Linked DNA regions of Styela clava. The protein of the gene in region 3 interacts with the protein of the main gene of each other region in a biochemical or structural test. Links are inferred from orthologs where the notes say so. Each region holds a gene or a part of one and is shown on either strand. Other genes may lie near its edges.

Evidence for each region.
Region 1: of the proteins of ubiquitin-like modifier-activating enzyme 1 (region 3) and ubiquitin-conjugating enzyme E2 J2-like, one has a biochemical effect on the other in vitro, tested with the Homo sapiens proteins (2 studies listed by BioGRID). The link is inferred for Styela clava from reciprocal best matches to the Homo sapiens genes UBA1 and UBE2J2.
Region 2: the proteins of ubiquitin-like modifier-activating enzyme 1 (region 3) and ubiquitin-conjugating enzyme E2 J1-like form a complex in vitro, tested with the Homo sapiens proteins (2 studies listed by BioGRID, with this or other methods). The link is inferred for Styela clava from reciprocal best matches to the Homo sapiens genes UBA1 and UBE2J1.
Region 4: of the proteins of ubiquitin-like modifier-activating enzyme 1 (region 3) and ubiquitin-conjugating enzyme E2 Z-like, one has a biochemical effect on the other in vitro, tested with the Homo sapiens proteins (3 studies listed by BioGRID). The link is inferred for Styela clava from reciprocal best matches to the Homo sapiens genes UBA1 and UBE2Z.

Annotation. Positions count from the first base shown.
Region 1 is NC_135261.1:15,008,435-15,015,686, reverse strand, and holds ubiquitin-conjugating enzyme E2 J2-like, read left to right. Parts: upstream 1-4,305; 5' UTR 4,306-4,331; coding exon 4,332-5,021; 3' UTR 5,022-6,739; downstream 6,740-7,252. Other genes in the region: uncharacterized protein LOC120329411, read left to right, coding at 1,833-3,785; ubiquitin-associated domain-containing protein 2-like, read left to right, coding at 6,815-6,836. UniProt on the Homo sapiens protein: Catalyzes the covalent attachment of ubiquitin to other proteins. Seems to function in the selective degradation of misfolded membrane proteins from the endoplasmic reticulum (ERAD).
Region 2 is NC_135255.1:18,740,088-18,748,113, reverse strand, and holds the start of ubiquitin-conjugating enzyme E2 J1-like, read left to right. Parts: upstream 1-5,008; 5' UTR 5,009-5,066; coding exon 5,067-5,957; 3' UTR 5,958-8,026. UniProt on the Homo sapiens protein: Catalyzes the covalent attachment of ubiquitin to other proteins. Functions in the selective degradation of misfolded membrane proteins from the endoplasmic reticulum (ERAD) and is essential for cells to recover from ER stress.
Region 3 is NC_135250.1:3,247,868-3,254,963, reverse strand, and holds the start of ubiquitin-like modifier-activating enzyme 1, read left to right. Parts: upstream 1-4,092; 5' UTR 4,093-4,828; coding exon 4,829-7,096. Other genes in the region: uncharacterized protein LOC120325420, read left to right, coding at 283-579. UniProt on the Homo sapiens protein: Catalyzes the first step in ubiquitin conjugation to mark cellular proteins for degradation through the ubiquitin-proteasome system.
Region 4 is NC_135255.1:6,259,354-6,266,632, forward strand, and holds the start of ubiquitin-conjugating enzyme E2 Z-like, read right to left. Parts: upstream 3,025-7,279; 5' UTR 2,972-3,024; coding exon 2,183-2,971; 3' UTR 1-2,182. Other genes in the region: protein SPATA45 homolog, read left to right, coding at 5,502-5,609, 5,874-5,988, 6,493-6,512. UniProt on the Homo sapiens protein: Catalyzes the covalent attachment of ubiquitin to other proteins. Specific substrate for UBA6, not charged with ubiquitin by UBE1. May be involved in apoptosis regulation.

The DNA.
Region 1 (7,252 bases), on a different chromosome or scaffold from region 3:
ATTGATAAAAGAAGTAGTACGTGTTCGCTCACCCAAGACGAAATTATTGGAAAAGTTGTATTTCCCATTCCCCCTGATTCAGTGATTCGAACAGATTACAAGATATTTAGTCGACTAAGGAGTACAATATTTATCATCTTAAGTTTGAAATCTCTTTTTCTGCCAACTTATCAAATAAGTTTTCAACTATTGCTAATAATATTTTGAATAGAATCATTTTATATGACATAACGTCATGGTCATCTTGGGGGCAGGAGGCTTTCATTTTTAAAAGAACTGAAAAAGTAAATTATATTATTATTCTGTCTTAGATGTGAATCAAAGGTACCGTAAAAGCGCCTAACTTCGGACAAAATTACTATATTTTCGTCTATAACTCGGCCATTTATTGTCCAAACGGTGCCAAAATTGCTCGGTAAAACATTCGTGCGGTAATTTACATTCCCTGCAAATTTCGGTTCAATTGGACTATTTTTACTATTGAAATAATCGATATTTCTTGCCATCTGACCGTTATCCTTCACTGCCCTAACTTCGGACAGTCATTTTCTTCACTGCGTAACCGCGACGCACAGAGAGAAAGAGGCTTCCGATGCGGATGACGTAATCACGTCGTTGCGTGAAGATAAGACGCTCGATCGTCGTCGTAACGTAACATTGACGTCACGACGAAAATGCATTATTTGAAACTTCCGTCGTCCTATGTTTACATCTTTCGTTCGTTATTTTCAATACTTCAGATGAGTATAATAACACGTTAGTCATTTTAATCAGGAAATGCATACGTAAATATATCTGATGCAAACCGTTTCAATCCACAATGAAGTATTTTAACGGGCTTCTATCGAAGTCTTTGAAGTATTAATATTCTCGGCGGATAGCTTTTTTTTATTCTGTGCAGTTATCTTTATAAATGATAATTTATATCAAACACACGGTAAATCCGATTGTAAAGTTTAATTTAAAATTCAACTTAATCTTGTAAACATGTAGGTCCCGTTTATTTGTTGGAGATTAAATTTATTTTTAATTTCGAGTGAATAAAATCCACCCAGGCCGTATTCAATAACTGTCATTTCGACTACTAATCATAAAATAATGGTTAAGTCAGTGCACTGTGCCATATGGACGTTGGAATTATCATAGTTTTATATATTCGATTTTTAACGTCATCGATTAAGTGTGACATGTATTTTCATTAATGTAATTTTGGCATATATTCATACATGACCGAACAAAATACAAAAATATTACATTGGAACGCCGTCTTTATCTTAACGGAAATTGTCATATTGGCTCCGTTGTGTCTGGCGTCAAAATTCATTTCCGCGACGCAGTGTGACGTCGTGTCGGAAGTGAGCGAAAAATAATCTACGTGAGGTTGACGTATTTTTGACGCTGCGTGAAATCTTAATATTCTTACGAAATTTATAATTCAGAATTTTAGGTTTTATTTAAATCTCGTACGACATCTTGCGATCACTCAAATAAATTATATACATTGTTGTCGCCCTCTACCGAATGATGGTATTTTGACGATGATAGCTTCAGTAGGAGCGACGCTCTGCGCCGTTGAATGCCGGGCAGTCAATTTTCGGCAAAATTTCTGTTTTTTTACCAAAAAAATAATTATGCAACATTAAAAAAGATGAGAATAGATGTAGATATAACAGCGCATCCTATAATAATTAAAATTAGCAATATACGGCGCGTTTTAGCCAAGATATGGCCGTTCAAAAATTTTGTCCGAAGTTAGGAACTGTCCGAAGTTAGGCGCTTTTACGGTACGGTAAATGAAAACCATATAAAAATTTGTAACACATTATAAAATTATGTCATTTCAATGTAATTGTGACAAAGCAGTTGCTCTGAGCACACTTCGATCTGAAATATTGGATTTAAGAAAGGAGAATGCAATTTTGAAACAAAAACTAAGTTTGTTTGAATGTAATATGCCAGAAACTATTTATCATCCCGAATTTGTTGACGCAAGCTGTCAAACTGAATGTGATTATGAGGAACTCAAAAATCACTTGTACGAAAATACATCCAATGTTGCAGAGACACTCACAGCTGAAAGCATTGCCCAAACTGCTCGTTCATATATGAACACGGCTGGGTGGGTTTATGATGAACAAAGGGGTATCTACTTTGATTACAACACTAGTCTATATTACTATCCCAACACAAAGCTATATTACAATTATAAAAATGGGTGCTATTATAAATATAATCAGGACTCACAAGAATACGAGTTTCAGCATCAACTTATGAGCTTCAATGACACGTCAAATACGAATATTGATAGAGATGATATTATTGGAAAGCAAATAGGTGATAAAATTTTTTTTTCGTCTCTGAAAAAAGCGGTATTTAAATATGGAAAATCTCAGAAGAGTCATCTCAAAGCAATCCAGGTGAACGAACTTTGCTCCCACTTTACGAATAGCCAATCTGAAGTTGAAGGGATGGCAGAAAACAATAAAAATTGTATATCAATATGCAAAACTGAAATCGGGCGATCACCATATCATGATTACAGTTTGTCTGATTCAGAGATTGAATGCATTAAATCAACAAGGAAAAATTATCTTGTATGTAGGAAATGTTCTAACATAACGGAAACCTGTTGTTGCCAGAATGAAAAATGCTTAAATATGAATATCAATGGCAAATCAGTATGTAACAGAATGACAAGAAAAGATGAAAAAATATCAGAATTAGACAGTTGCTCTGATACTGAACTAGAGACATTGTCAACACATCCTTTTAAATTTTTGAAATGTCCAAAATGTTTGTCTTTTGTTAATTCTGTTTGTTGTGAAGGTATAACAGAGTCGAGAAAACGACGGAAAGCTTCGGATTTAGCTGAAGATTCAAATAAACGCCATTGCTTAGAAAACTTTAAGTTAGTGTGTGATGATTCTTCCAAATTTTCAAAAGAAAAAGTCATTTATTCAATGGATTGTTTGGATGAAAATGATACAGACTTGGATTTAGAAACTAATGTGATTCCATGCATTCGAGCTATGGTCACTTCATCTAAAAGTCTAACATCTGGTACGTTATTTTTAATTACTCGTTATGGTGCAATTTTTGGTTCAAGTGAAAACTGTGAAATTCAAATACAAGAAGCTGATGTAAGTCCAAAACATGCAGCAGTGTTTTATAACCAACAACAAAGAAATTACTTTGTCACTGATTATGGGAGTGAGAATGGAACAACTCTAAATTCTATCACCGAACATAATCCTGGTATAACAACTGTGCTAGCCAGCCCTATTACACATAAAAGTGTGCTAATAATAGGAAACACTGTGTTTGTGTTACATCTGCATATTGGTTATGATACATGCGATGACTGTGAACCTGGTCAAATCCAAGCCATGATTGATACAAATAAGACCAATAATTCAGTTGAAATTTTGACAAAAAATGAAAAGGAAAAACAAAGGCGATCTGAGTTGAAGAATATTAGGAGAAAATATAATTTACATAATGATAAATATAAGCAATCGGAATTCGGTATTGAACCGCAGTATGTGGATAGAGCTTCTGAAAGAAGGCGATTGTTAGGCAGTGATAATCCATATGAAAAAGATGAGATGCCAACTTCAATGCAAACAGAGTTGGCCGATCACAACAAAGGCCACCAAATGCTAAAGAAAATGGGTTGGAATAAGGGACAGAGTCTAGGAAAATATCAAACAGGGATTACAGAACCTATTGCACCTGAAGGAAGTGGAAAAGGGAAATTCGGACTTGGTTACGGGAAAAATAGATAACGTTTGCTATAATTTACCTTTGCTATTGATGTTCTTGTATTGAACTATCTGGTGTCATAAATGCAAATTGTACAAACATTTTTCACGATACTCATTTTAATATTTTTCAAACATGAATTGGTGTCAAACACAGTTGTATAAACACATTGTATGGATAACAAATTTGAAAACATAATTCAAGACCTAAGTGGTCTGTCTAATTAATCTTGCTACCCAACTTCTGCCTCAACATCGTCTATGACAGAACACAGAACCATTCTTGAACTTATTTTTTGATGCAAAATTGTGTACGTACGTACCACTTGAAAATATGCTTCTGCTGTATAAAAAACAAATTCTGGAGTTATTAATGAAGAGAAATTTGTCACTATCACACCTTGTCCGTACTTTGTTACCCACAAAAACTATTCGCCAGAGTGCATGGATGCTGAAAATACCACGGTAAATCCTTTACTGAATTTAATTATTTGTTTGTGCAATATTTTCTTTTGTTTTTACAGGAGTTACGGTATCTTATAATAAGTTATATTTAGTGACAGAAACAATATGTCTCGTAAAAGCTCATCTGTGCAGCGTGCACCAACGACGGCTACACAAAGACTTAAACAGGACTATCTTAGGTTAAAGAAAGATCCAATTCCATATGTCACTGCAGAACCCCTGCCATCTAATATTCTTGAATGGCATTACTTGGTGTTAGGACCCAATGACACACCCTATTTTGGTGGTATATATCATGGAAAATTAGTCTTTCCGAGGGAATTCCCATTCCGCCCACCTTCTATATACATGATCACCCCATCAGGAAGATTCAAATGCAACACAAGATTGTGCTTATCGATAAGTGATTTTCATCCAGATACTTGGAATCCTGCCTGGTCTGTAGGAACTATTTTAACTGGGTTGTTAAGTTTCATGGTCGAAGATTCTGCCACATTAGGTTCTATTGAAACATCACACTATACAAAACGTCAACTCGCACTTCAGAGTGGACCATTCAACTTGAAAGATTCAGTTTTCTGTGAACTATTTCCAGGAGTTGCCAAGGAAATTAGAGCAAGTATGAATGCTCAAACAACATCTCAGACAACAAATGCTAATGTAAAAAATGAACAACAATCAAACGCTGCAAATGAAAGGGAGAGAGACAACCAATCTAATCTTGTAAATTTAGTTATTGTTGCCGGAGTTGCTCTATTTGCTCTTGCAGTTAATAGCGTTATTCAAAGTTTATGAATATTATATTTGTGAAAAGTTTATATCGCAAATTTAACTTGATAGAAACGATATAGATCTTACGAAGTATCGTACTTATTACAGCCGTAAGCCCGTAATAAGCCAACTCGTGCTAAAAAAAATTTTGCTTAGATGGCCTAAATCACTGCACCTCTGTGCTTGTTTATGTGAATTAATTTGCAATGCTCATTTACTTGTCAAAGGATACTTCTGTAATGCCTGCTTACATTATTGCTGAATATTAGATGTATATTAATTACGCTCCATCGATAAGGTACAATGTGAAACTGGAATACAGATAACAAATAATTACTATGGTATGATGAATCGTTAATATCGTTTTTAATTTATATGGTATTCTGAAATTTTGAACCTTAAAATAGTCAACCCAATACTTATATTGTCAACACCAATTGGATAGGACTCCTCTGTTTCATATGACTAACACTATTTGGAGGAAACTTAGAAATGTCACTCAATAAATTCCATCAGGAATACAAAAAATCATCAATGTTGCATATTGGAATTGTTTATCTTTGAAGGAGTAATTTCAAATCATTTATTGTTCAATTGTAAGTTTATTTTTTCGATGTCCTGATGAAATCATGGCAATTTGTATAATTCGGTCATTATTCAACTGAGTATTCAACACTCATATTTTTTGCTTTGCGACAATATTTATCGAGTGTATTGTATTTTTCATTGGCAATCCATAAAAGGAGTATAAATATTATGTTGTGGAAAGTTGAGATTATAACCCTGTTACTTGAGATAACATGTAGGTATTTTAATGGCCATACCCATGGGTTAATTCATTACATACGACAACAAGGCTCACAATTATTAGTCAGCATTGGTGATATTCTAGTCAATTCAGAAAAAATTAAGGATTCGATATATTTAATAATGAATCATATGTATTTCACTGGTCAACTTTATCTAACTTCCGTTTACCGTTTGACAATGTCGTTAAATTATTTAGATTACTTAACATACATTGAATTTCCATACATGCTAACTTTTTTGTACACCTGAATCGAGTGTTTTTTCTATTGACTTCTATGTTATGTTTTAAATAAATTAGCAGTTCTAGGAGTGTGTAAGAGTAGCATATGTAATGTAATAGTAACAGTCTGTTTTGCTCCACTGTGAATCAGTTTGCTATGTTGTATATAGAATATACGTGTAAATATCGTTTTACTTTGTTGAAATGAGTTCCAATTGGGCACCGTGAGTGAATACATTATATAGAGGAAATATTTTTTTGATTGGAAAATATTTTTGTCGTCACCTTAATGGCAATGTTGGTTATGCCTCTTATGTGTATTTATTTCTACATATTTTGATGTTTTTGATTTTCAATTCGGACAATGTATCTGAAAACCGAACTAAAAATTGCTTTGGGATTTTGGGATGTGGTACTTTTGTAGGTATACTTTTGAATCTGAAAGGGAGGGAACGTTTTTTGCCAGTTTATTATAAGAGTTTGTTTCTGTGTTTGTGAAGTGCAAAAAACAAAAAGGGAAAATTTTGTTGAATTTTCAATCTAGTGACCATTGATTGCAGGTTTTGTGATTTTCTTGTATGTCCACACCACATGATTTGTCTTGTATGTCCACATTTGTTTTTTTCAAACCTTCAAATTCTGTGCGAATCTTTTATTTCATTATCTTATATTTTGCGTTTGTATCATATTATGTCATTATGTAAAACATTAGTCTTCAAATTTTGTCATCTATTCAAATCCATGGACTGAGCTCTTCAACTTGAATATTAACATCCAAAGATTCACTATGAATGAGAATCTTGGATTCTGTGAGTATGACATTGTTACCTTTTGACTAGTACACATATCGCTATTTCAAAATAAAATATTTTCTCGATACAATGAATTATCCTAATGATGCATATTTCATATTTAGTACATGGCATGGAGGAGCTGATTTAAATTAAATTGCAATGGCTCCAACCCCAGCTCAAGCTTTATTCTTTACCTTGGAGCTAGGCTCAGGCTCTGCAGTCATTGAGGTTTTTAACATCACCACTAACATAAGCCCAAATGCAGTTTCGAAAGGTTTACTCAAAACTATGATATACGACTTACCGTACATATTTTTTCACTAAACTTTAAAATTCATCTGGAAATTTTCAAATTAATATTAGAAATTAACGGTGATTTGTTCGAAATATTAAAAAAATTATTAATGGTAAAAAATTAAATAGAATTAAAA
Region 2 (8,026 bases), on a different chromosome or scaffold from region 3:
CTGCGGCGTCTTGGTGGTTTATGTATGCAGATAACGGTCCCACTGTGTCATGGTGGCAGCTTACTCATTACATGACTTGTTCTTCCGATCCTGAAAACTACGAGGGAATTGATTGTAAGATATTTGAAGATCCACACCCTATGACAATGGCGTTATCCGTTCTCGTTACCATCGAACTCCTGAACGCCCTAAACAGTGTATCTGAAAACCAGTCCTTGCTGAAAATGCCACCATGGCAAAATATGTGGCTGATAGGAGCGATTATATTGTCCATGGTACTCCATTTCATGATTCTCTACGTTGATCCGCTACCAATGGTTTTCCAAATTTGCCCGCTGAATTGGACTGAGTGGAGTATGGTCCTCTACATATCCCTGCCTGTTATATTAATCGACGAAGCATTGAAGTATTTAGCGAGACAGTACGTGGAAAGTACAGATGAAAACACCTCAAAGAAAACCGATTAACTTTCAGACAAAGATGTGGCGCAATGAAGTATCATGTGCAGTTAAAAAAACGACTTTACTTTTCAATTCACTGAATATTTTGAACATTCTGTTCTTTTCCTGGCAGTTGCTTTTCCATCATCCTAGTTCCGAAGCAATAATCTATGTTCTTGTACAAACTTCAAGACAACTTTATATAGGAAATTCACCTCTTTGTTGTTACGTTTTTGCTGTTCTGTTATTTGTCAAATTTCATTGTTTCCGCAGGTGCTGCTACTTTATTAGAAGAAGTCAGACAACTCAAACAGAATTACATTTTTTTTTCAAATTTTAGAATGTGAAAAATTCTCCTATTAGCTGCGGAAAAATCAGTTTTAAAATATTGAGTCGAGTTTCATTTCTTTTTCAAATTAGATAATAATAATCAAAATTTTGCTCCCTAGGCTATTAATCTTATTTGGTAATTTGTATTGAACTGTGAGATTTAGTTTGTACTTATATAGTCAACAAAAAGACAAATTGGAATTCATTTTGAATTCTTTCTTTGTTATAAATCTCATTATTTGGTCTGCTTTAGTGTTCACTTTAGAACTGAGTGTTTTAAAATTAATATATTTAAGGCCCAGTATTGGCACAATACTGAACTGTTAGAGAATGGACATTCTCTATTGATATACCGACAGTAAATTCGGTATGGTCAAGTCAATTATGGCTCGACGAAATTGGAATAATTTGAAATTTTTTTTTATTAGTTCAATACTGAACTGTTATATTGGCCAGATTTTATTAGGTCAATTGAAAGTCTGATTCGATTTAAAATTTCTTTTATTTTATATGTTGATGTCATTCGAAATTGGACATGCCTATGAAAGTCGCTCCATTACCAACAGCTCAATATCATATTTTCAGGCGTGCCTGGGACAGGTTGGGTGTCATACTTTATGGTTGGCGAATCATTATCGAGTCAAAAATCAATTCGATACCTGGCACAAATTTGGGATATAAAAATTCTGGAATTCAATTTTAATTATTTCTTCTTGGTTTTTCATAGTCTAGTCTTCTCCTAACAGCTGCTTTTTTTTAAAATATAATTTATACGTGCCTTGCAAAATACTGAACAGCTGGGTAATAGGAAATATTTATTGATTGCCCAGTTTGTATTAGGCCAGTGTCAATTAAAAATCGGACTTCATTTTAAATTATTTTTGTTTGATTTGTCATAGCTGTGATGTTGCAGCTGCATGTTTTGAAGTTATTATTTATGCATCCCAGGCACAATACTGAATATTTAGGAATTAGAAGTTCTTCATTGATTGTTTCGTTTGAATTTGCCCAAATTTGGATTTCATTTTGAAATATTTTTTGTTGGATTGTTATAAATGTTGCTTTATAACTGGGTGTTTCGAACTTTTTAGGCATGTCTCTCAATATTGAATTACTGTTATTTATCAAAAGTCAACTCAAAATTGGAATTATTTTGTATCATTTTTTATGGATTTGTTATGTTAGAGCTGTTACTTAACAGCTGCGTATTTTGAAATTGTTATTTATGAGTGCCTGTTATAATACTGAACAGTAAGTGGATTCTTTATTGATTGGCCAGGTTTTCAATACTTTGTTCAAAATAGGACATCATTTGAATTAATTTTCTTTGGTTTCCATTGTTTAGTCCAGCGTTTCTCAAACTTCTTTGCCCCCGAAACACTTACGCTTTTTATATCAAGAAAACATCAAAAAAATGGCGGTAAAGTCGTTGGGCAGTTTCAAAAATATTTCTCCTAGGGTAAAATGAAAAATGTTGCTGTGAAGTTGATAATTAAAAAATTAGGCTGACGGTTACCGCGAACTCCATGCTTTCCAGCATGGCACGAGGCCTATCCGCCTGTTTAGCATGCAAGGCAGTTGCCAGTTGGGAGACAAATTTACGATCTGGATCCATCAAAGTACAACCGGGATTTCTTTAGCGACCATTTCGATCCCTCTTTTGCGGAACAATTTGAAGAAGCTCGTGTACCAGTAGTGTCCTGTGGAGAGCAGTTTCAGAAACGCTGGGGTAGTTTTTTCTTAACGGCTGCTTATTTTGAAAATATTATTTATACGTGCCTGTTGCAATACTGAACAGTTGGGATAAATGTATTTTGGGAATATTATATTATTTATGCATAAATGGCTCTAAACAGTTTTGAATTATTTCTATTTAGCTTTTTCGAGTCGTCACGTTTCAACGGGGTATTTTGAAAATATAATTTATGCATGCCTATCACACTTTTTGCACAAGTTGCTGCTGATTTGTGATTATTTTAATCACCTCACAAAAATATGTTGTCGATGTTAACTTTATGTTGTTTTGTATTGTAAGCATAAATTTTTTTTTTTTTCATCTCAAATTGAAATTGTAAGATTTATTGTGATTATAATATTATTGAATGTGAAACAGTTAGAGTTAACAAAATTGAATAATTCTAATTTTAAATCTGGAAGGTGGTTCTAAAACTTTCACGATCCATGGTCTTTTCCGATGGATATTAAAAATTTATTATATTTTCTAATTTTTTTCGGCAATTGAGTGAAACCTTTGTATGCTCATAATTTTTCAAAAGTTTCCAATTGAAAAAAGGGTAGTTTTGAAATTTTACCAAGTTAGACTTAGATTGTAACAGCTATCAGGTATGGCCAGAGGCTAAAAACATGGGTTTGTAGAAGTTTCAAGGGTATAAAAAGTGTGCGAGCTATGAAATATTGCTATATTTGATACAGAAAAATGTTTTTCTACATCTAAACTCCATCCCCCCACCTTCAGCTATGCCCTTGACTGTATCTGAAGGACGAAACTTGCAAAAAAATCTGTTCTGGGAAAACGAAGAAATTTGATTTTCAAACTCTATCTTTTTATTGGGATACTTTGAGGAATATTGCTTTATTTAACCTTTATCCGTTTAACATTTGCCTCTTAGTCTTGAAACCCTCGGCCAATTATATGAAATACCAATGTATTAGAGCATGGGTGTGTAACCTGCGGCCAGTGGGCTAAATGCGGCCCACAAGAAAAAATTGAGCGACCCGTGGTGAAGTGCCAATCTTGGATGGTGTGCACCCGCCAATTATCCCGCCAATAAAAAACCAATTATCTAGCCTGCCTGTATAAAAGGTTGCACACCTATGTATTGGAATATTCGATTCATTTTTTACATTCCTGATCTTGCTGTATTGTATTAGTGTAAAAATAATTTTTTATTATTTCACGTCAATTGCATGAGTTGCTGTGATTAGTAAAAATAATGTTGATTCAAGATTTTTAGTAAATTTACAATGGCGTTATTTATTTGTGCTTGATCCAGGGATGGCCGAAATTAAATATATTTAAAAAAACTTTTCAAGTATGGGATATAAAATTCGCAGTGAAATGATTTGTCTTTAAATTGTTTTTTTTCAAATATTTTTTCATAGTCCAAATTTGAATGTTTGCTGCGTATTGATATTTCCTGTCTTGTAGCTTCAAAATGTCACTAATGGCTGATTTGTTGTTGTTGAAACAAACAAATTATTTCTATCACAATTGGAGAATTGGGAAAATTTTCTTAGACCTTGGATACGCTGTATTGAATGTAACTATTTCCAAATCATTGAAAAATCAAATCATTTCTGGCATCCCTGGGTGATCACCTTTTTAAATAAGTAAATGTAGATCATTTCTATTCTATCCATCCATTTTTTTGTGTTTAACTTTGAATAACTAGATAGTATCTCTAATGGTGGCTTAACTTCATCTAAAATTGAGCTTATACTCAGTTTCGTAAAACATTGCTGTTTTATTTGTTCCATACTTGTGTGCTGCCTGTAATTTCGATATAGTTAAATTAAAAACAACAAGCCAAGATGTTACACTGATTGGCGTTAGTTTGAGTTTCATTAGCAAGCGCAATAATTCCAATTTATCCAATACCTTATTAGTAACTGATCGAAATACCTGGTTTAGTTTTTATTTGGAATTTACCTCAATAAAAAAATATTAAGTCTATGCTTGTGAAAACTAACTGGCTAACTAATCCCATACCCGACATGGACTGGTAACCGGAATAGGGGCTGTGGTTCACCATATGATTAAGCTGCTTTATCGGCTTTCCTCGCAGCAGAATAAATATGTGAATCCTGTACTGACCAGGCGATAGTTAATTCTTTATTAATTTTGTGTGTCAACCACTCCCAGTTTCAAAAATCCCCCTTCCCAAGTTTTTTTGGCCCTCACTCTATGCTACCACAAGAGTCTTGTCCTTCTTTACGTTATTTTTAGAATATTAGAAAAACATTAAAACAGTTCCTACAGGGTGATCTAAAAAAACAGATATAAATTTTTAATTATAAGAAAATTTATTTAACAGTTGAATTACTGTTTGTGCATGATTGTACCCAGGAGTTTCTGTAATCTAGGATGCTTCGCACAAAAGTTATGTTTTCTCTAAAATATGTTTCAAGTTACTTGTGTTCTGTTTTTCTCGGTCACCCTGTTATCTGAATATTTCGTACAGTTATCTGATAAAAATTGATTATCTTGAATGTAATGTTTTCATCATTTTCAGATATTAATTAATTATTAATTAGTTTAAATTAGGTCGTTTAAAGATGGCACAGTCTCAGTATAACTTTAAAAATCCAGCTGTTAAACGGTTAATGAGAGAAGCACAAGAATTAAAAGACGCAACGGAGCAATATTCAGCGCAACCACTGGACGATAACCTTTTTGAGTGGCATTTTACGTTTCGTGGACCGTCTGATTCTGATTTTGATGGCGGGATGTACCATGGTAGAATTATTCTGCCCCCTGAATACCCCATGAAGCCACCAAGTATTATGCTTTTAACACCGAATGGTCGATTTGAACTACATAAAAAAATTTGTCTGAGTATTTCTGGCTACCATCCTGAAAGTTGGCAGCCAAGTTGGAGTATTCGTACTGCGATTCTTGCCATCATAGGCTTCATGCCTACTAAAGGGGAAGGAGCTATAGGCGCTCTGGATTACAGCCCACAGGAGAGGAAGAATCTTGCGAAAAAATCTTCGACATGGAGTTGCCAATGCTGTGGTTCTATAAAGCAGTTGTTGAAAGAACCAGGTCAGGATTCTCACCAGAAAACGGAAAGTGAAATCCGCGACGAGGAGCTTGCGAAACAAATTAATTTTTCGAAACCAAAAACGCAAACGAAATCGGAAAGTGAGAAAGGGCCAAGCACTTCAACAACCGAAGAAGATTCGTCATCTACTCCTCCGAACACAGACGGCTTACGGCAGCGACAAACATCCCCCCCAGAAATTTCATCGATTCCTCCCCCTACTACCCCCCAACAACCAGCACCGCAAACGCAAATACAGCAACCTCCACCACAACAAAACGCACAGCGCCACCAAGAGGACTCAACACCATTCATGTTAATAATTGTTTTAAGCGTAGTTCTTGCCGTATTGCTTCTAAGACGATTAGACAGGGTTTATGATTTAAGAGGAAACCTTTTTTAATGATCCTTAACCTTTCAACTTTGACCGTCTGAAATTTGATTCTTTTTTTAGTTTTATTATAGTTTATTTTAATTTGTGTATTTAGGGTGGAATAGACTTGGTGACATGGCTTCATGCCCTGCCATTAGGTGATTTTATGATGCCACATTTTAGTAGCATGACATATAAGAGTGTATAGAATTTAGTTTAAGCAGAATTACAAATTTATGGAATTCTAAAATGTGTATTTAAAGAATTCTATATACCGGTAATCCAAATTGTAATTTTTTATGTAAAATTGACTGTTTGCATTGAAGGAATGATTTGTGTGTATATGTATTGAATGAGCTGCAAGGTAGAGCTATTCGGAATATTTATAACAAATACTCTATGGTTGAACATGTATACAATTTGAATTTTTGTGGTGTATTTCTGAATATAACCGGGGTTTGTGAAAATTTAGAATGGGATTGGTGGAAATTTTCTTTCTTATATTTTGTCATGTTAAAGCTGATAGTTGGCGCATGTAAATTATATCTTGAAAAAATAGTATATTTTTATAGTTTTTTGCTTTACAATTCAGCTGATTGAAATTGTCTGGCACCTCCAGATGATAATGATAGCCCATTGTAAAAATATATGCATAGTGCAGTAAAATTTGTATACATGCAAGCTAGATTTAGCTGAGGGTTTCAGTTAGTACTTTTTCCTAATTTTCAAATGCACAAACGTTTCAATTTTGTTTCTAGTTGGGTTGTGGTACACTTAGGTGGAGGCGGAGTTAGATTTGAAGTTATTTTAAAATTTAGCCACATCCTGCCTTATCAACCGTTTCAGTCCAAAGAAACTTTCACTCTTTAATATTTTTCTTGTCAGCAAATTTTGCCACTAGTCCAATATTTTGACTCAAGTGAATATGATTGATTGCCAAAATCAACTCCTATACCTTATTGAGGGGTCAAAGGTTATCCATCACACTTTTAATTCATTTATTAGTAGGCCTGACCAAAGTCAAGACTTTCTCAGACAAGCAATTTGCAACAATGAAGGAGTCTTTAGTCAGACAAAGTGTCTAAGAATAAATTTACAAAAGTGAAAGCAGGCCCTTTAAACTACTGAACTATTTATTGCTTAAGTATCTTTGCTGGCACAAATGCTGAAAGAAATGGGCTGTAGTAATACGCGCCGAATATTTGGTACTATCGTAGTATGTGTACCATGTTAGGCCATAATTTTATTCCAATCCCCCTATTTTAGTTCTAGCACAAGTTCGGAGGCTGTCTGTGTTAGCCAAGTGAATATCCCCCTGCCCATAGGTTACAGTCCTTTTCCTTGCCCATAGGTTACATTCCCTTTACACAACTTGATGTAAAATAGGTGAACAAAATTAGTTACCTCCATATTGGTACACATACTTCTGGAGCGCCCAATATTCAATCAATCCCTGTTAATTACCCAAACTATTTTATTATAGTTTTTCAAATCGTGGCATTAGCAAAACTGATGTCGCCAGGTTTTTATGCTGTGGTGCTTTACACATATATAATGAGGAACTCTTCAATACCAAATGAAATAATAAAAATTACCGGTACTAGAAATTGAAATCAGTCACTTTGTTAAAATCAGTAACAAGCACCCAAGAGTATTTCCAGGCGACCCATAGTTTGGGGAAGACTGCTCTAGTGTATGACCCGTACAATGACTAGAGATTTCATAGTTAAAATGTTGAAATTCTTAACATTAATTTTTGAAAAAGTATTTATGTATGTTATTGTAATACTATTTGTGTATAATACATCCAAGTTTTGTTTTTATGTATGCTTGCCTATCTCCTTCAATTCAATTTTTGCTGGTGTTTTAAATTAAGTTATATCAGGGGGTCTTTGTGATAACTGGAAAGAGTAATGAGACATAGCCCTAGAGAACCCAGTCTGCCAAGCCATTTAGTGTGGCCGTTGTCACTCAACACTCAGAAAATATCTCTTAATAATGCTTCACTTCAGACTATCCATGTAGACATCAGTATGTTTTAGATTCTCTTTCAAAATATTCATGAATTGAAACAAGTATCCTAAACTATCCATTATAAC
Region 3 (7,096 bases):
GCCATTTGTCTCACTTTGAATTGGGCTAGTTATATATATTGTGAGGCAAATGGTTAAAGTAAATACACGAAATGGCTTGTAGTTGATTTAATACTTCAGCAAAAGATTACAGTAAACCTTCATAAAAAGTGTAGGAGTGAGGATTCGTATGAATGAAAATTTGTAACACTGGATCAAATAGACGAGTGTAGACTTGATATTTTAGGGACAACCTAATCCGAACAGATGATTGAGTTGTCTTATCGTTAAAATTTAATCTAATTACCTATTTTGTTTATTCAGCACATGAAAAAGCACTACGTGAAGCCAACTCGTTTAAATAAAACCGAAAAAGAATTCCTTGATGATATTGAGAAGGGAACAATGGGTCAAAACATAAAGGATAAGATCATCCTCGCGATCAAAGCAGAAACCGAAAAAGCAAGAAACTTGAATGCTAAGAATGAGAGGTTTAGGATCTTCACACTCGATGACGACTCCATTATAGAACAGCTGAGAAAACTTGTTTCAAATTTACTAACATATTTGTTTGGTAAAGATACTCCGAAAGACGATATGGAAGCACAAATTATAGAATAGAACAAATAAAAAAAATTTGATGACTTGCCCTTTGAGTCAATTTATATTTTATTAGTTTATCCCTCTCTACTAACAAGTAACAAACTTATGAAATGCATTTGCTTGTGATTAGTGTAATTGAAATGGACAGGTGGATCACTACCCTAAATTCTCGTTATTATTAAAAAAAATCGCTCTTTTCTGCAACTAATGATTCAATTGATTTCATTTTTTTACTACAGTTGATTAGAGTCGCTAGTAAGCTAAAACTTTTATTTTTAAATTCCTCCTGCCAGTGTGGGACCCGATATCCTACCAAATATTTTGCTGTTTTATTTTATTGAAGTGGAACACTTCTTTATTTCATAACAGCTTATTTACTGATCTTTTGTTCAAACTAGTTGCTTGCCTATGTCATCTTCATTCCCGTAATATATTATACAATCCAATACTTTTTAGCTTGCTTATATAATTTGTACTTTGCAAATATGCACTGCTTTTAATATAACGCTTGGCAATTTTTTGGGTAATTGTTTATAATATTGCTCTGCACAAAGATGAACATTTTTTAATTTAGCAGAATTTTAATTTGCAATAATAAAAATCCTATTCGAATATATGGTGTGATTATCCAACTCAATTTTTAGGGAAAAGATTTTGACTTGTTAAAGTTTGAGGATTATTAATCGGTTTGTTTTAAACAAAGATGATCTCGATTATGTGTCTCAAGTATTCGGTAGTTTAATTATTACTATTTAAACCAATGTCACAGGGGATCTATTAAGGAGGCCAGCAATCGGGAAAACTCAGTGGGCCCAGTTATTAGTCCGTATAGCCTTAGGCCGCGCTACACAATAATGAGAACAAAGAGCTGAGTTGTTGTGGTCAGATTTAGGAGACAATGAGATATTTACGATGGTGCAGGAAAATTTTACATTTTGTTGAATGTTAATTGATGCATTAGGTTGCAACAGTCGATATTTATCATCGCGTAACTAACCGCCCTCACTATTTACGGTGTCAGTAGATCATGGCACTTTACTATTCGCCCGTAATTTTGCTCGGAGATCATATCCTTTTGCGCACGACAATTAATTGAGCAGATTTCTCTCATGACGGGGTGCGGGTCAGATGTGTCGACGGTATTAACTTGGAAACAAATAGAATATAAAAGTTAAGAACATCTTAACGGTATTAACTTGGAAACAAATAGAATATAAAAGTTAAGAACATCTTACATTCGAAATGATGAACAACTAAAGAATAGGATTTGAATAATGTGAACTACGTTGGCATTGCTGTATGTGCTGGCTACCGCTGTTATTACAATTTTACATACCTGCATACTAGGATACTGAGGTGAAATTGGCACATGTATTTCTACGTGTTTTACATCCTATTATGACTTTTATAGGTTTTCATGATTTTCTCAATCGTTTGTGTTTTCATTATTTTGTTTCATGTATGTATTTTTCGGGGAATCAGAATAAACTTGATCCTTATTCGTTTATTTATATATCGGCGTTTGGCGCGTTGTGCTCGACATGAGAAATACGCTTGGCGTTGTACTTATTTAACTTGCGCATTTTCAACTTCTGTGGATGATAATTATGCACGACAGGACTGCTAGACTTCTCACAAGTTGTAGGGGTGGTTCACGTAGTCGTAAGTGCTGGTCGGCTATGGTTTCCCCGCGTACAAGTCCGTGAATCTGGTTAATTATTCCCATAACCAACATAGATTGGAAACCGGGCGAGTAGCTGGGGTTTGCTATATAATTAGGTGAAATAATTATAAACTACTGATTACAGGTCGTCTTATCGGATCCCCACTTCACGGGTCGAATACGAAAATCTTCACGACCATGTAGAATGCCTTGCGCGCTTCGGGTTCGGATATTGAACTCCGGCCACCGCTTCCGTTCGGTTATGTCATGCTTACCATATTTCTTTTCGAGCGTTTTCCTTCCATTGCGCCATCGCCGTGACGCTCCAGTGTTATTTTTATGTTTGTTGAACAAAGAACGGCAATGTTCAGCATATTTGGGATTATACCGTATCTTTAAATGTGCCCACATTCCAACAATTTGAAGTAATTTAAATCGGGAATGAAAATAGCCGAAGCGGTACCGGTACGCGATTTGAATAATGCACTGATCACACTGCCATAACAGCATAAAGGTACGGTACCGGTACCTGTCTGCCTACGCCTGTGCAGTACGGTAGTACCGGTACCTGTAGCCTGTAGGCCTACCGGGTACTGTATCCTGGTATTGGTTCTATGTAGTCAACAGTTTGTTTGAAGACAGCCTGCTAAAGTGCTGTCCTCACAGACCACAAAACGAGAACTGATCATGACTTTACATATGTACGGTAACTTACGTAAAAAATACGTTACCGGTACTGCGACGTCACAAGGCACAGATGTATCTATGTTTATTTGTCTCGTAAATTCATAGAGCTTGCCAAAGTCTAAAAGTTAAACTATGCCCAAAATGGCATCTGCGCCGATGATAAAAAACTGACTAACGGTTGGAGATTGTTGCGATGAGAAAACGAAAGAAATAGCTAGCTTGCTCGATTTTGGGTGATCGTCTGCGCGTCTTAGATGGCAGTTCGTATAGTTGGAAGGGCTCCATTACATCACTGTGATGTCGTTGTGACTAATATTTGGATGACGCAGTCAGGTGGGGGTTAGGATTAACATATGCTGATATGCAAAAATGTTATGCTACACCCACTAGAGGTACGTTAGGTACGAAACTACATGAGACCCGGGGTTATGATTAACATATGCAAAAATATTATTGTTATGCTACGCCCACTAGAAATACTTTAGGTACGGAACTACCCTAGACCCGATTTCTCTAATTTTGTAAAATATTTTTGTCTCACCATAATTCAGTAATTTCTGAATTTCAATCAATCATGGAATGGAAAACAGCAATGTTTTGTAATAATAGCACTGAATCATATTACATTTGGCACAGGTCTACAGGTTCATTGAACGCTGTTCTTTTTCAAAATAATATCGCGGGTACCATGTAATGGACCTTTCCCCGAGCATCGACTTTCTTGTTAACTTCGTGACATTGGCCAATCAGCAAGATGCAAAAAGTGACGTAACAATGCTTCCTTTTCACATCCGCTTAGACACTTTTCTCACTCAGATTTTCAAGTGTGGTCGTAAACATTACCTCGTTTTCGCGTTTTTGGACTCTATTCGTTAGTTTTCAGTTGTGTTCAGGAAACTTAAATATAAATCAGATAATTCAATGATCACTCTGTCTTCCTAAGAATTTTAATTTAATTGCAGTAATAAAAATTAGTGTAAAAATAGCTGTGATAGACTAGACTAAAATTCATTTACCGGTACTTTTAAAAAACAGATTGTTGTACGATGAATCCTGATGATGGTTCGGGAAACATACCCCATTTCACAGGCGCCAACTCGCAAAGGCACTCTTAAAATAGCCCCGAAAATTTTCTAATGGTAAAGTATAGGAAGAATTTTCTGGGGGTCAAAGGTCGGGGAAAGGTCCATCCACTTCGTACCACTTCATGGCAGCTCATGCCACGGACGAACCGATGGCAGGGCAGCTCTTGCTGTGGTTAGGGCACTATTACCGGTATATTCACAAGTCATGTACCAGATTTCAGTTTATCATGCGAAATTGTATCTACTTAAACCTGAAACCTAACCCTAAATCCATGAAAAGTGTGTCCATAGGAAAAATGTTCCAACTTACCCAATATTTATCACCATCAGGGGCAGCCCTGCCATTACAGCCGACATGCCATGGTTATGGCAGCTAAATTTTACCCGCCTTTGGTTTTCAATTTGTGGCCTTGGTAAATGTATCTCGCTATTGGTTTGTGGAAGCTAAAAAGTCAGTTGTCATAGGTTTGGTCATAGAGGCCATGGTTTGGAAATCCCGTCATGGTTTTGCGGCATCTCGTACGGCACAAAATACTTGAAACTACAAGAAGCTGGGTCAATCACTAAGTTAAGTCTCCCTGGAGATTAGTCTCAATTTTCCACTTGAGCCATTTCTAGTCCAATTCAAATCTATTAAATTTCTAGAGCCCCCACCCCAAAACTGCTAAATACTGACTTTATATATTCACCGTTTCAAAGGTCGGTTTACTCATAAATTAGTTGATTATTTGCTTTAGCCTAATTAATATTTTGGCAGAAAATTTTTCATTTTCTACAAAAAAGCAAGAAAAATTTGAGGGGGATTTGTGTAGCGGCAAAATTCGAAGCCTTCATGTCATCTGACGGTTTCAACGATAAAAAATCTTCAGCTAACGACAACAATATAACAAACTCTCCTCCAAAAAAGTTTCGAAAAGTTGACGACACGACGGGATCAATTTGTACAAGAGAATCAGTGATAGTAGCTGTAACACCCGGAATGGCTCAAAACGGAACAAAAATGGCGGAAGACTCGATCGATGAGGGGTTGTATTCACGACAGTTGTACGTACTCGGTCACGAAGCAATGAAACGGATGGGAGCTTCTAATATTTTCATAAGCGGCATGAAGGGACTTGGAGTGGAGATTGCAAAGAATGTAGTTCTTGCTGGTGTGAAGTCTGTTACTATTCATGATGATGGCGTTACTGTTTTATCTGATCTCAGTTCGCAGTATTTTTTGACTGAGCAAGATGTTGGGAGAAGCAGAGCCGAGGTTTCGGTTGGAAAAATTACCGAGTTAAATTCCTATGTTCCAGTCAAAGTTCACTCTGGAGATTTAACCGATGAAATCTTGAAAAAATTTCAAGTTGTTGTTCTTACAAATTCAAACCTAGAAGAACAGCTCAGAATTGGGGATTTCTGCCACAACAACGGTATTCGCTTCATTGTTGCGGATACTAAAGGTCTTTTTGGTCAAATCTTTTGTGATTTTGGTGAGAAATTCGTCGTTTTTGACAATAATGGGGAACAGGTTAGATCGGTTATGGTATCAGCTGTCACACAGAATGAAAAAGGGGAAGGTATTGTGGCTTGTATGGACGAGACTAGACATGGATTCGAAAGTGGTGACCACGTTTCTTTTACAGAAGTCAAAGGAATGGTTGAACTTAACGGATGTCAACCAAGGGAAATAAAGGTCCTTGGACCTTATACTTTCACTATAGGCAATGTCAGCAATTTGACTAAATATGAAAGTGGGGGAATCTGTACTCAAGTTAAAATGCCTACCCCTGTCAATTTTAAATCTCTCAGAGAAGCTATGGCAGAACCGGAGCAAGTAATTACTGATTTTGCAAAATGGGAACGTCCTGGCCAATTACACGTTGCTTTCCATGCTTTACATAAGTTTGTCGCTGACAAAAATAGTTTACCAAGAGCTCAGAATAAAGAGGATGCTGATACTTTGGTACGAATCACGGAAGAGTTGAATTCGACGCTACCAGATGGTGCCAAAGTGGAAAAAGTTGATGAGAAGTTAGTACGACAACTTGCATATGGTGCACGAGGTGATCTTTGCCCTATGCAGGCAGTAATTGGCAGTATCACTGCACAGGAAGTAATGAAAGCGTGTAGCGGAAAATTTAACCCAATTAAGCAGTTCTTGTATTTTGATGCTCTTGAGTGCCTCCCAGAGGATGGGGAGGAAAAATTGGATGAGGGATCTTGTACAGCCATTGGTGATCGATATGACGCTCAAATCGCAGTTTTTGGAAAAGATTTTCAAAAAACCGTTGGTCAACAGAAATATTTTGTTGTTGGCGCTGGTGCCATAGGCTGCGAACTTCTCAAAAATTTTGCTATGATGGGTCTTGGATGTGGAGAAGGAGGGAATATCACTGTAACAGACATGGACATTATTGAGAAATCAAATCTTAATCGCCAGTTTCTGTTCAGACCATGGGATGTTCAGAAACTCAAGTCTGAATGTGCAGCCGCTTCTGTCAAGAAAATGAACCCCCAGGTTAACATCATTGCTCATCAGAATAGAGTTGGACCAGAAACTGAAAAAGTTTACAACGATTCTTTCTTCGAAGGTCTCGATGGTGTCACAAATGCTTTGGACAACATTGATGCAAGAATTTATATGGATCGAAGATGTGTGTATTACCGTAAGCCTCTGCTTGAATCTGGTACGCTCGGGACTAAAGGAAATGTCCAAGTTGTTCTGCCTTTTCTCACAGAGTCTTATTCTTCCTCACAGGATCCCCCTGAAAAGTCTATCCCAATTTGCACGTTGAAAAATTTCCCGAATGCGATTGAACATACTTTGCAATGGGCACGTGATGAATTTGAAGGGATTTTCAAACAACCAGCTGAGACCGCTAATCAATTTCTTACTGATGCAAAGTTTTTTGAACGAACCGAGAAACTGCCTGGAATGGAACCTATTGTTACATTGGAGTCTGTTTTTTCCTCTCTTGTCTCGCAATATCCGAAATCTTTCGTTGATTGCGTGAAATGGGCTCGTACGAGATTCCAGGAGCAGTATTATAACAATATTGCGCAATTACTACATAACTTTCCACCAGACCAAAAAACAACATCTGGTGCTATGTTT
Region 4 (7,279 bases), on a different chromosome or scaffold from region 3:
CTTATCTTCAAATATAAATTTTAACTAAATTTTATATATAAATTCTGAATTACTTATCTAAATTCAATTTGCTGATTCACATTATGCTCAAAGTTTATTTCCAAGCACTCTTGCCTATAAAAAAATGCGGCAATATTAATTCATATCATGAAATGATGATTTGTAATTTTTTTGTAACTGTGAATTATGTCAAAGAATTTTCCAGAAGACAGATATATTTGATATTCCGTATACATAATGTGAAGAAATTCCATGAAAAAGAAAAAACAATAAAAAATAACTAATAAATATATTAAGATAAGATATTCATTTCTTAATATTCTTGTTCATATAAAGATGGGATTTACATATTTATCACGGGGGAAAGGAAAGCCGAAAAGATGTCTTAATCATATGGTGAACCACGGCCTCACGTCCGGTTACCAGTCCAGGTCGGGTCTGGGATTAGTTAGCCAGTTATGTTTTTGGAAGCACGGACTTGATTATTAGATACAGCCTAACCAGTTTTTAGTGGAATATGGAATAATACATAATATGTGCCACTATTATTAACCATACAAATATTATTTCGTTTGTATAATTTGACAATATAGTAATTTCTGCATATTTATTTGAAACAATTGGGTAAGGATTAACAAATGTCAAAATACACGATACTCCATTATAGTCGATTTGAAAAAAAAATTGTGTCTTAGAATAATCATTCTAATTATTGTAGCTCTGCGAATTCAGAATATAAAAATACAACGTTTATTCATGATATGCACTTTATATGCTGGAGTTAAGAATATCTAAATCAGGAGCATGCAACTGTTTATCGCAATGGGCCGTGCTGGATTAACCATTAGACAAAATAAGCATGTGCTTAGGGCACCAACGAAAGAGGGCACTACTAAAAATTCCATTGCGGAATTTGCAATGGTGCCCCAGTGATCTATGAAATAATTTGAGTTGGTCTGACAACTCAGACCTCAATATTGACCCCAGGGCCAGGTCATGCCTTTTAAAGGCCCTGGCAATGGGTCAAACCCTAAAATGATGGCACACTGTGAAACAAACCATACCTTTTAATCAAAACATGACACCAATAAAGCAAATCACCTTATCGAATCCTTGAACAAACAAAATTTAATTCAAGTCTAACACAACACAAATACAAAAATGCTGACAGTGCCGTTACAATAAAAAATAATATTCAAAAGACTATACCAGGGCCCAAAGGCTGTATGTTGCATGCCTCTGATCTGATTAGCTAGTTGTTTCTTCCTTACTAGTTTACAAATTTCATTGATGTATTATTTCATAGCTAAATCAAAATTCATTCACATGGACTGACAGATAACATTGCTAAACAATAGTTGCGTTTTTTAATATTGTTTATATTTTTTTTGAATTCCTCAAATCTCACAATCAATCCCTAGTTAAAGATTAATAGTTAGATAATATTACAAATAAGCAAGAACTTAATATGCTGACAATGAAATAATATGGTAAAAAAAGTTTTCATCAAAAAGTTAGCAATCAGTTTTAAACAGAACAAAAAGAACATTAAGTATGGGTTGAGAAATAAAATCTGGTACATATGCGAGTTGGCCACATTGAGACAAACTACGGCATCTTGTAAGGCGGCCAGTCTGTAGTGACAATGCATTAGAACAGTGGTCCGCAAACTGCGGCTTGCGGGCCCGATACGGCATGCAATCCAAATTTTTGTGGCTCTCGAATGACTATACTTTTAATTGATGAGAAAACAAAAAAGTTTAGCAAATTTACACAAATTTATTTTAGCTGCGCATAGATATATTCCATAATAATGGCTTTTGGATGTTATTTTTATTTTTTGAAGTAATCAGCCGAACGTGTGTACCGATAGTTGTAATAAGCATAGAAATAGGAGTTAGAGGTTCGTCATACATTGAAGTTTAATGTAGCGAGAGTTTTAAAAATAAAACCTAAACTCAAAGGCGACTGAAATCATGTCAGTTTATGCACGGCATTCATATTGAAGATTGCAAAAGTAACAATAAACTAACATAAAAGATATATTATACTATATTAAGATATACTCATAAACAATACAAAAATAAACATTATTATATCATTGACATTGATTTGGAACTATTCCATCTATTAAGCTTAAAAGTACGGTGAATATAGAGTAAAAATTAATTGAATTTTGAAGTTAATGAGACGGACCTGGCTCATCAGTTTCCATTGGAACTACATATGGACTATTAGAAAGTGTTTGTTTTATTGACTCAAGTCTGGCAAGTAATTCCCCAAATCGGAAATGTCCTGTATTTTGATTAAATGGGTCTTGCATTGTTCTCCCATCCATTTTCATCAAATTCTTACAAGTGCTAACATAATAATCATAATATTCCATAAAAGATGACTGCACAACTTTTTTAACTTCAGTGTCCAATGAATTGTTAATCGCCATATCACAAACAGCAACTCTTATTGTTTCATGTCTAATGCAATCATTGTATCGCATCGAGTCACCAGCTACTCGTTCACTTGCAAATCCCGGTTCATTATGATACGGTGACTCGTTCATCACAGATTGTATTGAAATAAGGACAGATGATAAAGATTGGGCGGGACTCCAACCAGGCCCAGACCAAGTTCCAAGTATGCTCAAACACACTTTGCCATTTTTGTAGAAATTTGGGTTGAAACGTACCATTCCAAGACCAGTTGTTAGCAATTTTACTCTGGGGGGCTTTAATGGGTAATTAGGAGGACAGCGTATGTAAAATAAGAAAAATCCCCCTTCGTAAGGAGTGTCAAAAGGTCCAGTTACTATGGCCTGTAATCGTGTTATATCATCTGGATTAGGTAAGATGACAACGCCTGGTGGAGGCGCTCTGTATATTTCCAAAATATCTTTCTTCAGTCGGACTATGGTGGTGTGAGATGGAGCTTCATTTCCCCAGTCATGAGATTGCAGAGGATCCCAGTATGACATAATACACAAAAAATATCTACTATACTGAATAACACCTGAAAAATATAGTGAAAAACAAGAGCTGCTGAGTCAAAGTTCGGATACAGTTTGGTGTGTTTTTATTAATTTTGGAGTCAAAGTCAGAGACATAATTTTAAACTCCTCAAAGTCAAATTTCAGACAGATTCCAAGTACATTAAAACATCATAAATAACAGTCGGTGCAAACCCCTCTTTTACTTGACGGTCTGAGCCTCTGTATCGACTCAAACGGCAAATTTGCACAGTTCAAAAAAACTAAAAAATCTAAATCTAAAAAAAAATCTAAAAACTTCACCATTAGATTTCTCGGAAAAAATAATCCAATTTACCAAAGAAAAAAATTATATCGTAGTATTTGAGAGTTTTTAGCAAAAAAAAACGCAATTTGGTCAAGTGACGGCAGACGCACGTCACTATTGATTTAAATTATTAAAAAGCCAATCTTGGTGGATCTTTCAAATCTGCCGTCATGACAGACGTCCTCGTAGAGTGTTCGTTTTATTGAACCAAATGTTGGGACATTTTGGAATCGGAGAACTAATGAAAATACTGCCCTACTGAAAATAGGACTGTCCTAACTTAAAATGGAATTACACTGTCCCAACTCAAAACGAAATTACTAACACCAAATGGCCAAACTAGGAAGTTGTTCTGTCAGATCATGTATAGCGGACAATGGACAATTCAAATAGCCTATGTGTGGATCAAAATATTTGCTATGTTCTGAAATAGTTAGATAGTAATAATACAATATGAACTACAGACTGACAGACAGACAGAGGACCAAAAGAACTACTTCGTCTTTAAGCGACAATTACATATAAACGACTAGTCTAAACAATTGCAAAAGTTAAAATATATGATAGCCTATTTCAGTATTCAGGTATTTGTTCCTGTGTTGATTCAATTCAGCGATTGCAATGATTACAGGACTAAATTACTGTACCGTACCGTAGTTATTTTTTGTTTCAAATCATATAATTATCTGGCTGTGCTTACATGTTCCACTTACAGGTTGACGTTTGTTCACTAATTTATGAACGTATCTGAGTATACCCTGCCACAACCACCAGTCAGTATGCTATACGTACAGAGTGTAAGCAATAACTTAATATGCTGACAATAAGGTAATATAGTACTGTAGTAAAAAAAGTGCTAACAAGTTTTATCAAAGAGTTAACAATCAGTTTTAAACACAACAAAAAGAACAGCAAGTATGGGATAAGAAAGAAAATCTGGTACCTATGCGAGTTCGCCATATTGCAGTATTGAGACAAACTACAGCATCATCAACTACGGCTTCATTTGTATATTAATTCTGGTGATCTCTCATAAATCCTAATTAGATACCGACAAGTGGTTCAAATTTTCATCAACCAAAGACGGAAGAAATTGTCAGAAGTTTATTACATTCAATTATCTATTTCATATTTGCTGTTTTTGTTAAATCGCCTTCAAAGTACTGCCCGATTGTGGATCGCGTTTTTCTATGATTGTTTTATTTTTTGATGGGCGGGCACGTACGCTTTTTAAATTTATTTTGAGTTATGCATGTTTCCCAGGTTTCTCTGCATTTTGTTTTATCCGTTTACTTTTTGTATTGTTCATGTTAGAGAACCAAAATGAATGATTGACAGAGGCATGAATAGGGCCAAGTTCGATAATACCGGTACTCAGCCAATTGATCAAGCGTGGAATTTGTTTGAAACTTTATTTACAGAATTATCCTCTAAATTCTTATAGATGTATACCGGCCAAATGTATACCGGTATACATATTTCTGCAGTATTGCTGGTATTGGGTGTTAATGTTACGGTACTGCAGCACTGCATTACGTATGGTACGGTACCGTACTGCAGTACCACTGTGTTAGATAACTCACATGACTGCATGGTCGCGGATTTTTTTACCATGCCTGAGTATTTTTTTTTTTTCTTTTATGATTCCACAATGTGGATTATGCAATAAATAAAAATCATATTTTAATAAATGAATAACAATAATCAGGTTTACATAAATAACAAATGCCTGAGTATTGTTAGGGGTATCTTTATGATATCATGGGCTGGTGATCTGACGAGAGGTCATGGTTCGCCTTATGACAGTATGATTAAACCATCTTATCACTTTCCTCTCCCCCGATATAAATATGCAGCCAAAAAATCCTATCCTATCACACAAAAAATTATTATTTAAGCATTACTGTATTAACACAACGATGAAAATAGTCAAGAAAATACCGCACTTGATATCTTACCGCGTATACCTGTATACCGACATCAGCCCCGCGTATCGACGCATCCTTCTATTTCGTTGTCTCCATTTTATTTTACCTCATACACGTGGGGTATGCTCAAAATAGTTCCACCTCGAGATGGCGCATCAGGGTGCTGCCTAGCAACAGACGCTTGTACGAAGGGGTACTCGGTACGCGTCGTGTAGGGTCGTAAAGTTTTATAAGCCTGGTCAATTTGATTTACATTTAAAATAGAACACACTTCAACTTCAAGATGAATCAAGAAATGCTATATCAATTGGGAAATTCCCGTGAATCGTGGTGTGCAGTGGAACTTAACAAATCACAAGACTGGTGTAGATCTGAGAGAAGACATTCAAAAGTAAGGAAGGATGCCCTAATATCGATACTGAAGTCCTATTTGCAAAGCAAAGCTTCAACGAAAAAGATAATTTTTTATTTGTCATTGGCTAGCAATCAGTATGTGGTGACGGGACTTCAACGTACCCCAAACTTTATTTAGGCATGTCAGACTGAGTTGAAAGTCATTATCAGTATAAAGTACTATATAACTTAAATGTTTGTAATATTTTGTTGTGTGTTGAACACCAAATGCCAGATAATATAATATTTTAACCAATTGCAGGAAAATTTTGTCAGCACCGTCTTCAATCCGACAGTAAACACCGATTCAGAACCAAGATGTCAGTGGAAAATTGATGCTCCTACCCATAGAGAAAAACGCCATTTCTCCTTCGCCAGTAAGTTAGAGCCTCGACTTATACTTTGCTCATTAAATTAGAATATAGTAAAGATGACTGCATGCAATAGGGTTTTCACGGAATTACTCAAAAAATATTGATGATTCAATTTGAATCTAAATTTTGGGTGTAACTCCTAATAAATGTTCTATTCCAATTTAATGGCTATGCGTTAAAATAAGTCAACAGTTGTCGCCTGTAATCCTCGTGTGTCTCGATTATATTTGAAAATTACACTTTTTGTTCGAATATATTCAATACAAAACATATTAGCAAAACATTTAGTTTCTTTAATGTAGCTACAGTTTTATTTTATCTATTCTATGTATGAAAAATGATAAATAGTATATATATTCAATTTAAATATAAAAAAAATACGTTGTAGACCAAATTAAGAACAATCTTTAAATTGAAAAAATGGCGCTAAATAGCGCGACTCAATTAGCGCTACAGACATAATTTATGACTCTTTTCAAATAAAATAATTCATTTATCTTTTTGTAGATGCTAATCAGCTGAAGTGAAGATTCCCATTGCATGCGTATATTAGCTGTCGTATACATCGACTCGAATCATTTCTATAGTTTTTGCTGTTATTTACCTATTGGTGTTTGAGAATAATTTGCCATATCTTGCTATAATGATTATAGTTTAGCTTTTAGTTCGCCATCTATAAATTGTTGTATATTAGTTTACCTAAATGTGTTGCTTCGATAGCCTATTTATTTTCGTGCCATATTTTAAATTATAATTTTATACTGCTAATATGCTCTGTGCATTTCACTAATAGAGAATATTAAGTTAAGTGTTTCTGTTGATATGATTGCTCTCTGTAAAACGAGCATTGATTTTATAGCAGAAATCAAAAGAGTTTGCCAATTAGAAATAAACTCTTTCCCGACACCTATACGCAGCACTATTGGGCCCATGGCCAGTGGCGTGCCTAGAGTAAAGATGCTAAGTATGACTACTTACACGTATTCGATTCTTATCCGATTCCTAAATTTTTGATTCCGATTCTCGATTCCTCGACATATCTTGCCGAGAAAACATACCCACTTAACCGCTTGAACCCGGCAAGCCGGTTTACCGGCTTGTTTGAGTACGCTCTGTGCCCCGGCAAGCCGGTTTACCGGCTTGTTTTTCGTGTCGGAAGGAATCAACTTTATGATCTCGTATCTCAAGAACCACAATGAGTATTTAAATAAATTTTAGATTGCATGAAAGCTTGTTATTGGGACTAATTATATTGTAAATATCGGTGCTCTAATATACGATGTTTCAGTAAAAT